3 linked regions of the Alligator mississippiensis genome follow. The protein of the gene in region 1 interacts with the protein of each later gene in a pairwise test. Links are inferred from orthologs where the notes say so. Each region holds a gene or a part of one and is shown in the gene's direction. Other genes may lie near its edges. The genes, in order: AHCYL1, CDKN2C and SLC23A1.

Region 1 (3,748 bases):
AGGGGTAGCAACAGCAGCACTGCAAGGGAAGCTGAGGGCCAAAGGGACTGTGAATCTCAGCAGCCTGCCGTAGGTCTGGAGGAGGAGAGCCACTGACACCGGGCTGAGCGCTCAGCTCAGAAGCAAGATCACATGGATGCAAGACCCTGGGGGGAGAAGCCCACATCCCAGCACAAGGATGGCCAGGGCTGGGGCTGCCCTTGTCCCCAGGCTGCAGCACAGGGGTGTCTGAGCTGCAGCCGACCTGAGCACCCAGGTCTAACCCTGGGGGCCGCGCTCCCCCTGGTGCCTGGCTGGCACTGCATGACAGCTGGACAGCGAGGAGTGACAGTGCCACCTGGGGGCTGCTTGGGAAGTGCGCCCTTGCCAGCACTGGCATCGCACCCACCCACCACGCCTTATCCCAAGCTGGATGCCATGGGGGCAGGCCTGTTAATCACATAGGGATGGCGAGTGCAAGCCCTTTGTAAACTATACGCCCTCTCAGTCAAAGGGAGGCCACAAGGCCTGATCACTGGGGACAACACGTGGAATTGCTGGGCTGGGAGCGAAGACCAAAGGTGGATCCCAATGGGGACGCAGAGCAGAGGCACGGCCCAGCACCCAGTGCCCCGAACAAGTCCAAGGAGCCTGCAGATGCCACCCATCTTTTAAAAAATTAATATATATATATATATATATATACACACACACACACACACACACACACACATTTAGGTATGTATACACATCCTCTATCATAGACTTCCACTGCACCTTTTCTTTTTAAAACTACCTTAAGAAACCCATGCACCTGTTACAAAAACTACACCCGCTTCCCTGTGCACCCACCCTCTGCCCTGCCCTAACCCAAGCACAGTCCCTTAGTCCCGGCCCCGATTTGGGGTTCCCTTTCTCAGTTCATTTCCCATCCTTGTCACTGTTAATGTCGCTTCTACTGCTGCTGATCCTGTTGTTGTCCTCCTCGCCTTCTTTAGGTCCAATTGCATCGCTGTCCCCTTCGTTCTTCCTGTCCACTAACTTTCCCAGGGGGGACTTTGAACAGCCGGTGCCATGTGTCCCTTTTCCAGATGGAGTTGGATGCATCCTCTCCGTCCTCTCCCACCGCTTTCCTGCAGATGCCACCCTGAAGCGGGGCGGGAGGATGCTGGGCACGGGCCTTTGCTGGGTTTATCTGCAACCTGCACATCTAGACTGGCATCTCTGGGGGCACGGGGACCATCCCACGCCACGAAGGTACACCACGCTCCTGGCACATAGTTGCCCAGTCTGACACACTCAGCAGTGTGGGCTCCCAGCCCCAGCATGCCCCTGAATGTCCAGTGCCCACCAGCGCTGCCCCTTCTGCACACAGTTTGCTGCACGCCCCACTCCTCCCCTCCAGGGGTCGCACCCAGCCAGCCGGGCTCCGCACCACCTCCCCTTGCCAGCACTTCCCCCTCGCGTCCCTTGCCCGGCCCATGCGTGCCAACGCTAAGCCGGCCCGTGCGTGCTGACGTATGCCCGCCTAGCCCCGCCCCCTCCCGCGGCGTGCGGCGGCCGCAGTCCGCCTGCAGAGGTCCGGCCGGGTGGGCACGAGTTCTGCGCTGCCCCCCCCCACCCAGCCCCGCGACTCCGCGGGTTCGAGTCCCCGCGCCCGGCTCCGCTCGGCTCGGCTCGGCCCGGCTTGCAGCACCAGGATGTCGATGCCGGACGCGGCAGGCGGGGACGAAATGAAGCAGGCCAAGGAGATCGAGGACGCCGAGAAGTTCAACTTCATGGCCACGGTCACCAAGGCGCCCAAAAAGGTACCCCTGTGGGGGGGTGGTCTGCCCTCCCCTCCCCTCCCCTCCCCTGTGTGGGGCTATCCCGGGATTAACCCCTGCTGCCCTCTCCTCCCCCACCAAGGGGGCAGCAAGGGTTTACTCCAGGATAGAGGTGTGGGTGTCTGCCCACCTTGCCCCGGGACGGCGTGGGTTATCCCGGGATAACGGCTCGGTCTGTTTGCAACAGGGGGGCAGCTGGTTAAGCCAGCGCCCGCGGGGTTGGGGTTGACTTGGGGGGACCGGGGCTGTGCCAGCCTCGTGCTTCGCCCGCTCGCCTTTCGGGCGTCTCCCGGCGCCCGGGGCGCTTGCTTAACCTGCCTCCGGTTGCTGGGGATTGAGGAGCCGGGGGCTCCCCCAGCGCGGGCGGCGTTGGCTCGGGCCTGGGCGAAGGAGCCCTGCCTGCCGTTCCAGAGGTGCAGCCACAGCTGGAGCGCGGGAGCCAGACTCCTTCCAGCTGTTCCAGTTTCACCGGAGAGCTGTGAAACCAATGGGAAACCGATGTCGGCACTGCCCGAGGGATACCTGGCGCTTAGCATCCCCCGGCAGGTGGTGGTAGCGTGGAGAAGGCTCTTTAGACCCGTGCTGGGGATGCTCCTCCGTCAGGCCGAGGGGTCGGTGAGCCCGTAGAGGTATTCGCTTGACGTTGCGGGTGTAGGTAGAGGCTGTTTTGCAGCCCAGGCAGGGGGTTGGACTCGATGATCTGTCGAGGGCTCTTCTGACCCTCGCATCTATGAATCTGTGCTTGGGTCGTGCTGCTGACTTGATCTCGCTGTAATACTGCCCCGAGCATTGGAGGGCATGCAATGAGATGAGCTTTGAGGCTGATAACGTAACGAGCGCCAGCCCTGAAGGATGAATGCTCCAGGCCCATCTGGCGATTGTGAAGAGCAGAGGCACTGGCAACCTCGAAAGCAGCGGTTCTCAACCTTTTCTGTACCAGGACCCGTTTGTAAACCTCGATGGCCAGTCCCAAACCACTGCCCCCAGCCCCTCAGTGTGTGGGGCAGTGGGTGGGTGTGAGGCAAGGGGGTCCCAAGCAGCCCCTCGCAGGCTGGACCTCTGCCAGCCTGCAAGGGAAAAGCCACAGTTGCCCATGTTTTTCTCCTTTCTTTTCAAAGTGTGTTGATCCATTTTTAAAGTTTGTTCGCGACCCTTTCGTATATTCTTGTGACTCACTTTTGGGTCGCGACTCACCGGTTGAGAAACGCTGCTCTGAAGCATCCAGTGCTGAGGGTCTGCGGCTTGTCTCGGAGCTCGAGGCATCTTCAGATTGCTTTGTATCAAAATCATAATCGGAAAAAGGCCTTATTACTTTTTGCGACCCTTCTTTATTTTTAATGCAAGGCAGAGTGTCTTGTGCGTCTCCTTTGTGAGCTTCGAAGCTCATCGCCTTTATCTAGAAATTCCAGGAAAATAGCTGAGAGCTTCCTGCTATGGTTTCATCAGAGGAGTGAGGTCCCTAGCAGGTATGGTATTAAAAATGCTGAAATAAACCAAACTTGGCAGGGAAGTTATCAAATCCTTGCCCTGATTGACATCCTCTGGGCAAATGATTCTTTAAGGGGCAGGGTGCATTGAAGATCAGATGGGGGAAGCTGGGAATATCCCCGGGGCATTGGTATGGGTGCTTTCTCTTTTGTACTAACTCTTACTGAATAGCTTTTCAAAGGGGAGGCTTATGCTTATGCTTGCTGTGAGCACCAGTGTGCAGTGAAAGTGCTGATAGGAGTGAACATCCCTCCATGTTCATGCAGACAGGTTGCTAGTGTGTTCAGTTTCCCAGGCAAAGCGCCCAAAGGTGGGGACCATTAATGAGGAGGTTCTCGGACAGGAGCTAGACTGAGAGAAGAGCTGGTCATGGAAGAAGCAAGCATGCTCCTCGAAACAACCAACTGTGGCAGCCTGAGCGATCCAGCTGGTAGGATCTATATTAGTTCTGCAAA
Region 2 (3,748 bases), on another chromosome or scaffold:
ATGTGCATGCATTTTGTGCCACATTTGTGCATGTTGTGCACGCATTTTGTGCCACGTGTTATGCACACATCTGTACCTTTTATACCGCACTATGTGCACGCATCTTGTGCAACATATGTACATGTTGTGCACGCATTTGTACATTTTATACCACACTATGTGCATGCATTTGGTACCATTTTGGTACATGTGCATGCATTTTGTGCCACGTTTGTACATTTTATACCACACTGCACGCATTTTGTGTCACGTGTTGTAGCGCATGTTGTGCACACGTTTGTACCTTTTATACCGCACTATGTGCACGCATTTTGTGCCACGTGTTGTGCACGCATCTGTACCTTCTATACCACACTATGTGCGCACATTTTGTGCCACATTTGTGCATGTTGTGCACGCATTTTGTGCCACGTGTTGTGCACGCATCTGTACCTTTTAAACCGCACTATGTGCATGCATTTCGTGCCACATTTGTGCATGTTGTGCACGCATTTTGTGCCATGTGTTCTGCACACGTCTGTACCTTTTATGTGCACACATTTGTACCAGGCTTGTGCGTTTCGCGCGCGCACGCCGCGGTGCTGCGGAGCGGCGGCGGCGGCGGCGGCACGGCCGGGGTGGGAGCCGGCGCTGCAGGTGCTCGTGCTGCCTGGCGGCCGATGCTCGGGCCGTGACTCGCCCTCGTTTGCACCCTGCGCGTGTCAGCCATGCCGGAGGCTCCCCCCCGGCTCGCTTTTGCGCCGCACCCCAGACGGGAGGGGGCGGAGGGCGCTCGCCGTCCCTCCGCGGCATCCCCGGCGCCGACCCCCGCCAGCCCGCGCTCCCCGCCGGCCGGGCCCCCCCGCGCCCGCCGCCTTTGACCTTGGGCGGCCGGGGCCGCGGCCTGCGGCGGGAAGCAGTGCGCAGGCGCGGCCGCATCTCCGCGGAGCCTCCTTAAATCCGTGCCGTTAAAATGTGGGCGGGAGCTCGGCTCAAAAAGCGCCCAAAGTTTTTTCTTTTCAAAAAAAGCCGAGGAGGTGGCAGGAGCCGCGGCGGGCGCAGCCATGCGGCCGGGCGCGCAGGGGCGCGGAGCGGGGCGCGCAGCTGGGCGCGCTCGCCCGGGGCGCCGCGGCTTGGCGGGGCCGTCACGTGTGATCGCGGGGCGGGCGCTTGGCACGGGGCGCTTTTACGAGTATTTACTACGAGGTCCGCTGCGGGCGCCCAGCCCTGCCCGGGCTGCTGCGGGGCGCCCATGCCCTGCCCGGCCGGGACGGGTCCCGAGGCATGGCCGAGCCCGGCGGCGACGAGCTGGCGTCCGCGGCTGCCCGCGGGGACCTGGCGCAACTCGCCCGCTGCTTGCAGGAGCGCGATGGAAACGTGGATGCGCGCAACCGGTTCGGGAGGACGGCGCTGCAGGTTGGTCTCCGGGCTGGGGGGGGGGGGCCCCATTCACGGCCTTTTTTTGGAGGGGGGTTGCTGTGTTTTATCTCTGGAGCGGCTGCAGCTGCCTGGCATGGCGTACTTGGAGGAAAAGGGGGCCACGGCGTTGCTCGCAACGGGGCTCCGGGTGTAAGAGCCGCGGGGGAGGAGGGCAGGGCAGGTCTGTCAACACGGCGGGGTTGTTCTCCGGAGGTCGCTTTGCTCTTCCTTCACCCTGTGCCTTTCGACACGCGCCCATGGGGTGGGATGGGGCTTTTCCTTCCTCTGCTGCCGCCGAGCCAGCCTTGACCTCTGTGCCGTGGCAAACACGCCGCCCCGCGCGGGCGCTGCCGGGCGGGGGTCCCCGTCCAAACCCCGCTTTCCAAGCGGGCGGAGGGGCCCGAGAGGGCAAGACCGTGGGTCTGCATCTGCAGGGATGAGGTTTGCAGACGGTCGTTGGAGCTGATCCAAGTCCTGAGCACTGGGGCTGATGACAGATTTTTTTTTTTTCTATTCTTTTAAGACTATCATACAATGAAGACGAAAATGAGGGAAGAGAGGCAGACACAACCCCCCCCACCACCCCAAATAGACAAGCCATTGATAACCGAAGGGGAAATCTCCTCGAGTGGCTGTTTGCACGCCAGACAGGGCAGGGGAACGTGAAATAAGAGCCGTGGGCGGGGGGGGAGGGGGGTTATTCTCGAAGTTTACACTTTAAAACATAGTTTCTATTTTAAAAAGTGACAAAACGGTGTGCACTTTTGAAATGTTTTCAAACAACAGAGGGATTGCAACTCGAATGACAGCTATTTACTCAGCTTTGGCTTATCATCAAAATGTAGGGTCTCGAGAATGAGAATCTCTTGTAGGAACACAACCTTGATTTCCTTTTTACATTTTTTTCCTTAAATTCAAGGACTGTCAAATTGTCCCTGCGCTATTCGCCCAGATACAGGCGATTTACTGCAGACACTGGTGACACCTTGGCAGGGAAAGGAAAAATGTGACTCAAAAAGACACCCATCCTAGCTGCTGTAGGAAAGCAGGAAACCTGTATCTAGATTTTTATCCACAAAAGGAGGCTGAAAATCTGAGTTGCAGTGCAAAAGAGATATTTTTTCCCTACAAATATCAGCACTCACTGCATGTGGACTGGGGAATATTTTACAGTTCCTGTGACTCCTGGCACTATCACCCACTTTTTATTGCAACTGAATCGTAACCGATGTAGTGAACCACAACAACAATCAGAACAGGGGAGTCTGACTACTTGTTTTCAGTTTGTATAATCCTGAAACATTTTGTGGGTGAGTGACCCAGCTCAAGAAAGATTTCTGTCGATGCAGCCTCGATATTACTTGCTCTGGAGTCCACCAAATGAAAGTGAGCACAGCGCACGTTGTCTCCTGCTGCTCGTTTCAACACAGCGATTCAGCATTGTCTTCCTCGAGTCTGTGCTTTTCTGTTTGACGAGGCAAACCCATGGAGGCCTCGGCTACAGACTTTGCTAATGCATCTTCCTCACAAATGCTTTCTCCTGCCCCGATTCCCGCCCCCCAGAGAAACTTTACAGCCTCAGCTCGGGTTAGAGCCCAAATCCAAGTACATTAGATTTATTCTTTTTTTTCCCCCCAGCTTTCTTGTCTTGGTTCCCTTGCACGTGTATAGCCCCCTCCCAAGCCTCGTAGGGTTCTTGGGTGCTCACAAAACACGAACAAATACGTCTGGGTTGTACTAAAAATACTGTGCACTTATTTTCCTGAGAGATAAATGTACTTTCTATAATCTCCATCCAGAATTAAAAGAAATGGCAGGTAACCTGCACAAAACTATCTCAGATAAATACTTTTCTGCAAGCCCCAAACCAGCCGAGTCTATTTGTCCCCACCTAAAACAGACCATGATAAGCTGCTATATAGTTTCGAAATGCTGCAGCAATGATGTGTGTTGTGAATGCCTTTTTTTATCAACTCGAAATGCATATTATTATTTTTTACAGTAGCTTCAGGTTTTCAATCCATGCCTTCTATAAACTGTAATTTATGCTTAATGTAGTGCAACTGTCATCCTTGTTTATGCTAAGAAGAGAAAGAATCGTAATAAGATTTTCAAGATTGAGAATTAACATGTTAAATAAAGGAAACTTGTTCAGAGCAGTTTTTCATAATAAAACCGTTTAGTTGTGACAGCAAAGTCTCGAAAAAAAGCACTGTCCTCAGTACGGGGACAACTGTGAATTAATTAGTTTCATTTTATGAAAGACCGGGGGAAAAGAAGTTCTTGGGAATTCCTGAAGCATTTGTGTGAGTTAGCTAAACCCCCAGTCAGACCCCAATATATCCGTGTG
Region 3 (3,748 bases), on another chromosome or scaffold:
TGCAAACAGAACTGTTGCCCATCGCAGGGACATGCAGGCAGTGGATCGTGGCTCTGCCCTGGGCCCCAGCTCTGCGCGGTCACCACCCCACAATCCTGGCCTCAGCCACAGCCCCCCTGGCTCCCACCTACCTGTCCTGCTCCAAGATACCACTCCTCGCCCACCCACAGCCCCATCCCATCCGCCTGGCTGAGTGCATCCTGCCCACATAGGTCCTGGGCCAGTCTCCATGGAGACCCTGCCCACCCACTCCATCTGGTGCCCCGGCAGTGGGTGCAGAGTGGGTGGGCCAGGGTGCCCAGGCAGCAGGGCGGGGCTGGCAACAGTGGCGATGCTGGCAATGGCAGTCAGAAGGAGCTGGCCGCTGCAGGGGCTGCTGGGAAGTAGAGTCCAGGCACCTCACCACCCCTGCCCTGCTGCATGCCTCGGGGTGGTGGGATTTGCAGCATGCACCATGGCCAGGACTGCCCCCCCATGCCTGGGCCAGGTAGGATCAAAGGACTCACTGTGGGCTGGATAAATCCCTTGGTGGACCAGATCAGGCCCACGAGCCATATTTTGCCCACCCTTGGTTTAGAGGAACACAGCTGGCTCAAACATTCTTGATCACTGCATTTTGGAGTTTCACAGCTGGACCTCTACTTGAATAAGGGGCCAAACCAAACTCTAGGGCTTGCCCCCACCATGCTTTGCAGCTCTGCCCACTTTCTAGTCTGCCTCTCTGCAGATTTACATTGCAATTGAGGCCACCTCTCAGGAGTGTGCACTTCAAAATGCTCACTCCCACAGAGGTCCCAACCCCTTGCAGAAAGCTGCTTTGGCTCCACTGCTGCTCCTTATCAGCCTCACACACTTTGGATGAACTGCTTAGGGCAGTTTCTATTCCAGTCTGTTTATGAACTGTCTTTCAGCCAGTCAATTACACTGTAACTCATCTCTCTATAATGTTTTACAACACTGCTGTGAAAAACTGATAAATGTGAGGAAGGGTTGTTCATTTCCTGTGATTAATGGAGTTAATAGATGATCTTCAAAAACACACCTCTCCTATATTTCACAATCAGCAGTCAATAGCTCTAGTTATAGATTGACTCCATGAACAATGTCTGATATGTTGACTAAAGTCCTCCACACTACCATAAAAACTACTCCAGCTCTTCTTTCCGCAGCAATCTCTGCACCACTCAGCAGGAGAATGGGGAAGAGTTCGGAGGATTTACCTCAGACCAAGGTGAACACATTGTCTGCATTTACCATATTCTCGCTTTCTCCCACCATCTGTATCAGTTTCCTTGCTTAGGAGTATTTGATATAACTGCATCTGAAGGAGATGGCAGGTATCTGCGTTGGTTATGAGAAGGGGCTGGTATAAGCAATGGAATAGGAGAATCTGAGAGTGTATGCTGCTGACCAGAGGCAGAAGGTAAAGGCAACTTTAAATGTGATCATTGCAGGAAGACAGATTCCACACAACGTGACCTGTCAGACTGACCCTTAATGCTGGGCTTTGCCCATGGCTTGGTTTGGCTTGGAGAAAGAGTGGAAGCCACTCTGCTCCCAGTGGGGGAGGTATCCAACCTGCCACTCAGGAGTGGACTGCTGGCCATCACCTGAAACACATGAGGTCCACGCATATGCTGTTGCTGTTGCTAGTTCCCTTCTTTCCTGCTCTTTCCCACCTCCCCTTACGCCAGCCTTGTCTTTAACACAGCACAGGGAAACCACCCAGCCTCACTTTGTACTTGATCAGCTGCTGCAACTCAGCAAAAGACTTGGAAACTCTTGGGAGGCGCTTCAGTAAGGGCACAGGAGAGAAGAGCTATAAGCATCAGGCCCATTCCCTCACCTCCCCCTGCCAGGGTAAGAATGACAGAAGGAAGAAAAGGATCCAAGGAAGTGAGGGCTTCTGGGTTTTATTCTGAAGTAAATTTGCAAGGAACATGATTTTAGCTTGCAGTGACTGGCAGAGTCCAGGGCCTGATCCTGTTTGGAGCTGAGCATCTGCAGCTTTCACTGAAAATACTGGGTTTTAAAGGCACAGATCTTTCCCCTCAGCCTTTTGTAAGAGTGGGCCCCTGTTGTGAGGGATTTTGAGCGACTCCTTTATAATACACATTAACATTTATTTATGGTCCACTTTCCATGCTGGGGAGGATGCCACAGAAACAAAGCTTTTTAAGTCAAATACTGCTTCTTTTACTGCATGGCTGCACTGCTCAGGGTGTTCTGAGTAGCTACTCTGTTGTAAGGGTCTCTGAATGTGCTACATGGGAGTGAGGAAGAGGATGATTATTATTTTAACTCTGTTTATATATGTTAGTGAGATGTCTGCAGCAATTCAGTTGTCCTGTTTGTGGCTTCCTTGTTTTGTACCTTTTTATTTCCAAAGTCTGATCTACACCCAGATTTTTGTACCAATTTATCTTTTTTCACTGAGTTGTGATTTTACCAGTATCATTAGATTAGTACAAACCCTAGTGTGGACACAGCTATTCTGCTTTGAAAGTGCCTTATTCTAGTATTGCTCATGTCCTTTCCCACGTAGAGATTGTTATAGTGGAACACAGATATTCATACCAGTTTAACTGTGTGCATATTGAAGCAGAGGGGTTGTACTAAGGTAGGTAAAATGATACAGTGTCTGTATGTAGGCATAAAGCTTGGCCATCTGATATGCTGTGGGGTGATGTAGCATGTTGCAGAGAAGAGACGCTCACTTTGCTCTCCCTCTGAGATGTTCATTTGAGTCTATCTTGTTTTGCCATTCCCTTTAAATGTAAGTCATGGCTACCTAGGCTGGGATGTGATGCTTGCTCTTGACAAAAGGAACTCAAACCAGTTCTGGGGGCTCCCTCATGCCGGGGTCCTTTTCTATGGATTCCCTGAGCTTGCTCGACTAGAGCAGCCAACACAATAGGAAGCAGCATCACACGCCCTTTCCAAAGCACTCAGCAGCACTGTCTGTTTCGCATTTGATCTTTTGGTGCTGTTGCTTTCTCTACCGTTTTTGTTGTTGCCTCCAAGGCCCTGCTATGTACTAACGAAACCAACACAGGTCATATAAGCACACAGCAGCTTTCAGTGAGTATAAACTTCATTCATACTACCAGCCTTCATTCATACTACCAGCCAGGTGATCAAACTGGTGATAGTGCAGGGTTAAACACAAATCCAGGGTGCTTTTGTATTCTATTGTTTTTATATGTTAGAAGCACTTAACATCAGCCTGCAGCACTGCCCACGCATCATCAATCATAGTTGGTGCCAACACCTTACAGTTTGCTGATTAATGAACTTATTTAATTAGAGCATTCCTTCATAGCATTCATATCTATTGTACCAGGTTTGGCTGTACCATCCTGCATGCTTTCCTTATCTATCTCAGATGTTCTTGAATGAACTCCAAATGTTTTGATGCATTCTAGTGCTTTCTGAAGATCTCCAGACTTGAAGGTTTTAACTACCTGCTCTTGGCCTGCCTTCTGGCCTACAGTTTCCCCATGGAACAGCTTAAATAAATAGTGACTTCCTTTGTTTTATATCTCCCTTGACACCAGAATGGCAACCCTCCTTCTGCTCTGAATGACAGGACACCTGAGATCATTGCTGAATATCCATGTGGGAAGGAGCCGGTCCCTGAGAACAAGGTGAGGCAAGGGCTCAGCTAAGGGTACCTGGGCCACTACCTTTACCTGAGGGATTAATGCACTGTAAGTTAGGGCTCAGCTAAGATGTAAGCAAGGAGGAA

The links.
Region 2: the proteins of AHCYL1 (region 1) and CDKN2C interact in binary tests that used the Homo sapiens proteins (3 or more experiments, as listed by UniProt). The two-hybrid records come from large-scale screens. The link is inferred for Alligator mississippiensis from reciprocal best matches to the Homo sapiens genes AHCYL1 and CDKN2C.
Region 3: the proteins of AHCYL1 (region 1) and SLC23A1 interact in binary tests that used the Homo sapiens proteins (3 or more experiments, as listed by UniProt). The two-hybrid records come from large-scale screens. The link is inferred for Alligator mississippiensis from reciprocal best matches to the Homo sapiens genes AHCYL1 and SLC23A1.

Annotation. Positions count from the first base shown.
Region 1 is NC_081837.1:34,575,930-34,579,677, forward strand, and holds the start of AHCYL1 (S-adenosylhomocysteine hydrolase-like protein 1), read left to right. Parts: upstream 1-1,538; 5' UTR 1,539-1,679; coding exon 1,680-1,787; intron 1,788-3,748. UniProt on the Homo sapiens protein: Multifaceted cellular regulator which coordinates several essential cellular functions including regulation of epithelial HCO3(-) and fluid secretion, mRNA processing and DNA replication.
Region 2 is NC_081828.1:8,171,959-8,175,706, forward strand, and holds the start of CDKN2C (cyclin-dependent kinase 4 inhibitor C), read left to right. Parts: upstream 1-1,037; 5' UTR 1,038-1,263; coding exon 1,264-1,395; intron 1,396-3,748. UniProt on the Homo sapiens protein: Interacts strongly with CDK6, weakly with CDK4. Inhibits cell growth and proliferation with a correlated dependence on endogenous retinoblastoma protein RB.
Region 3 is NC_081832.1:45,180,660-45,184,407, forward strand, and holds the start of SLC23A1 (solute carrier family 23 member 1), read left to right. Parts: upstream 1-1,123; 5' UTR 1,124-1,195; coding exon 1,196-1,231; intron 1,232-1,749; exon of another isoform or gene 1,750-1,860; intron 1,861-3,557; coding exon 3,558-3,647; intron 3,648-3,748.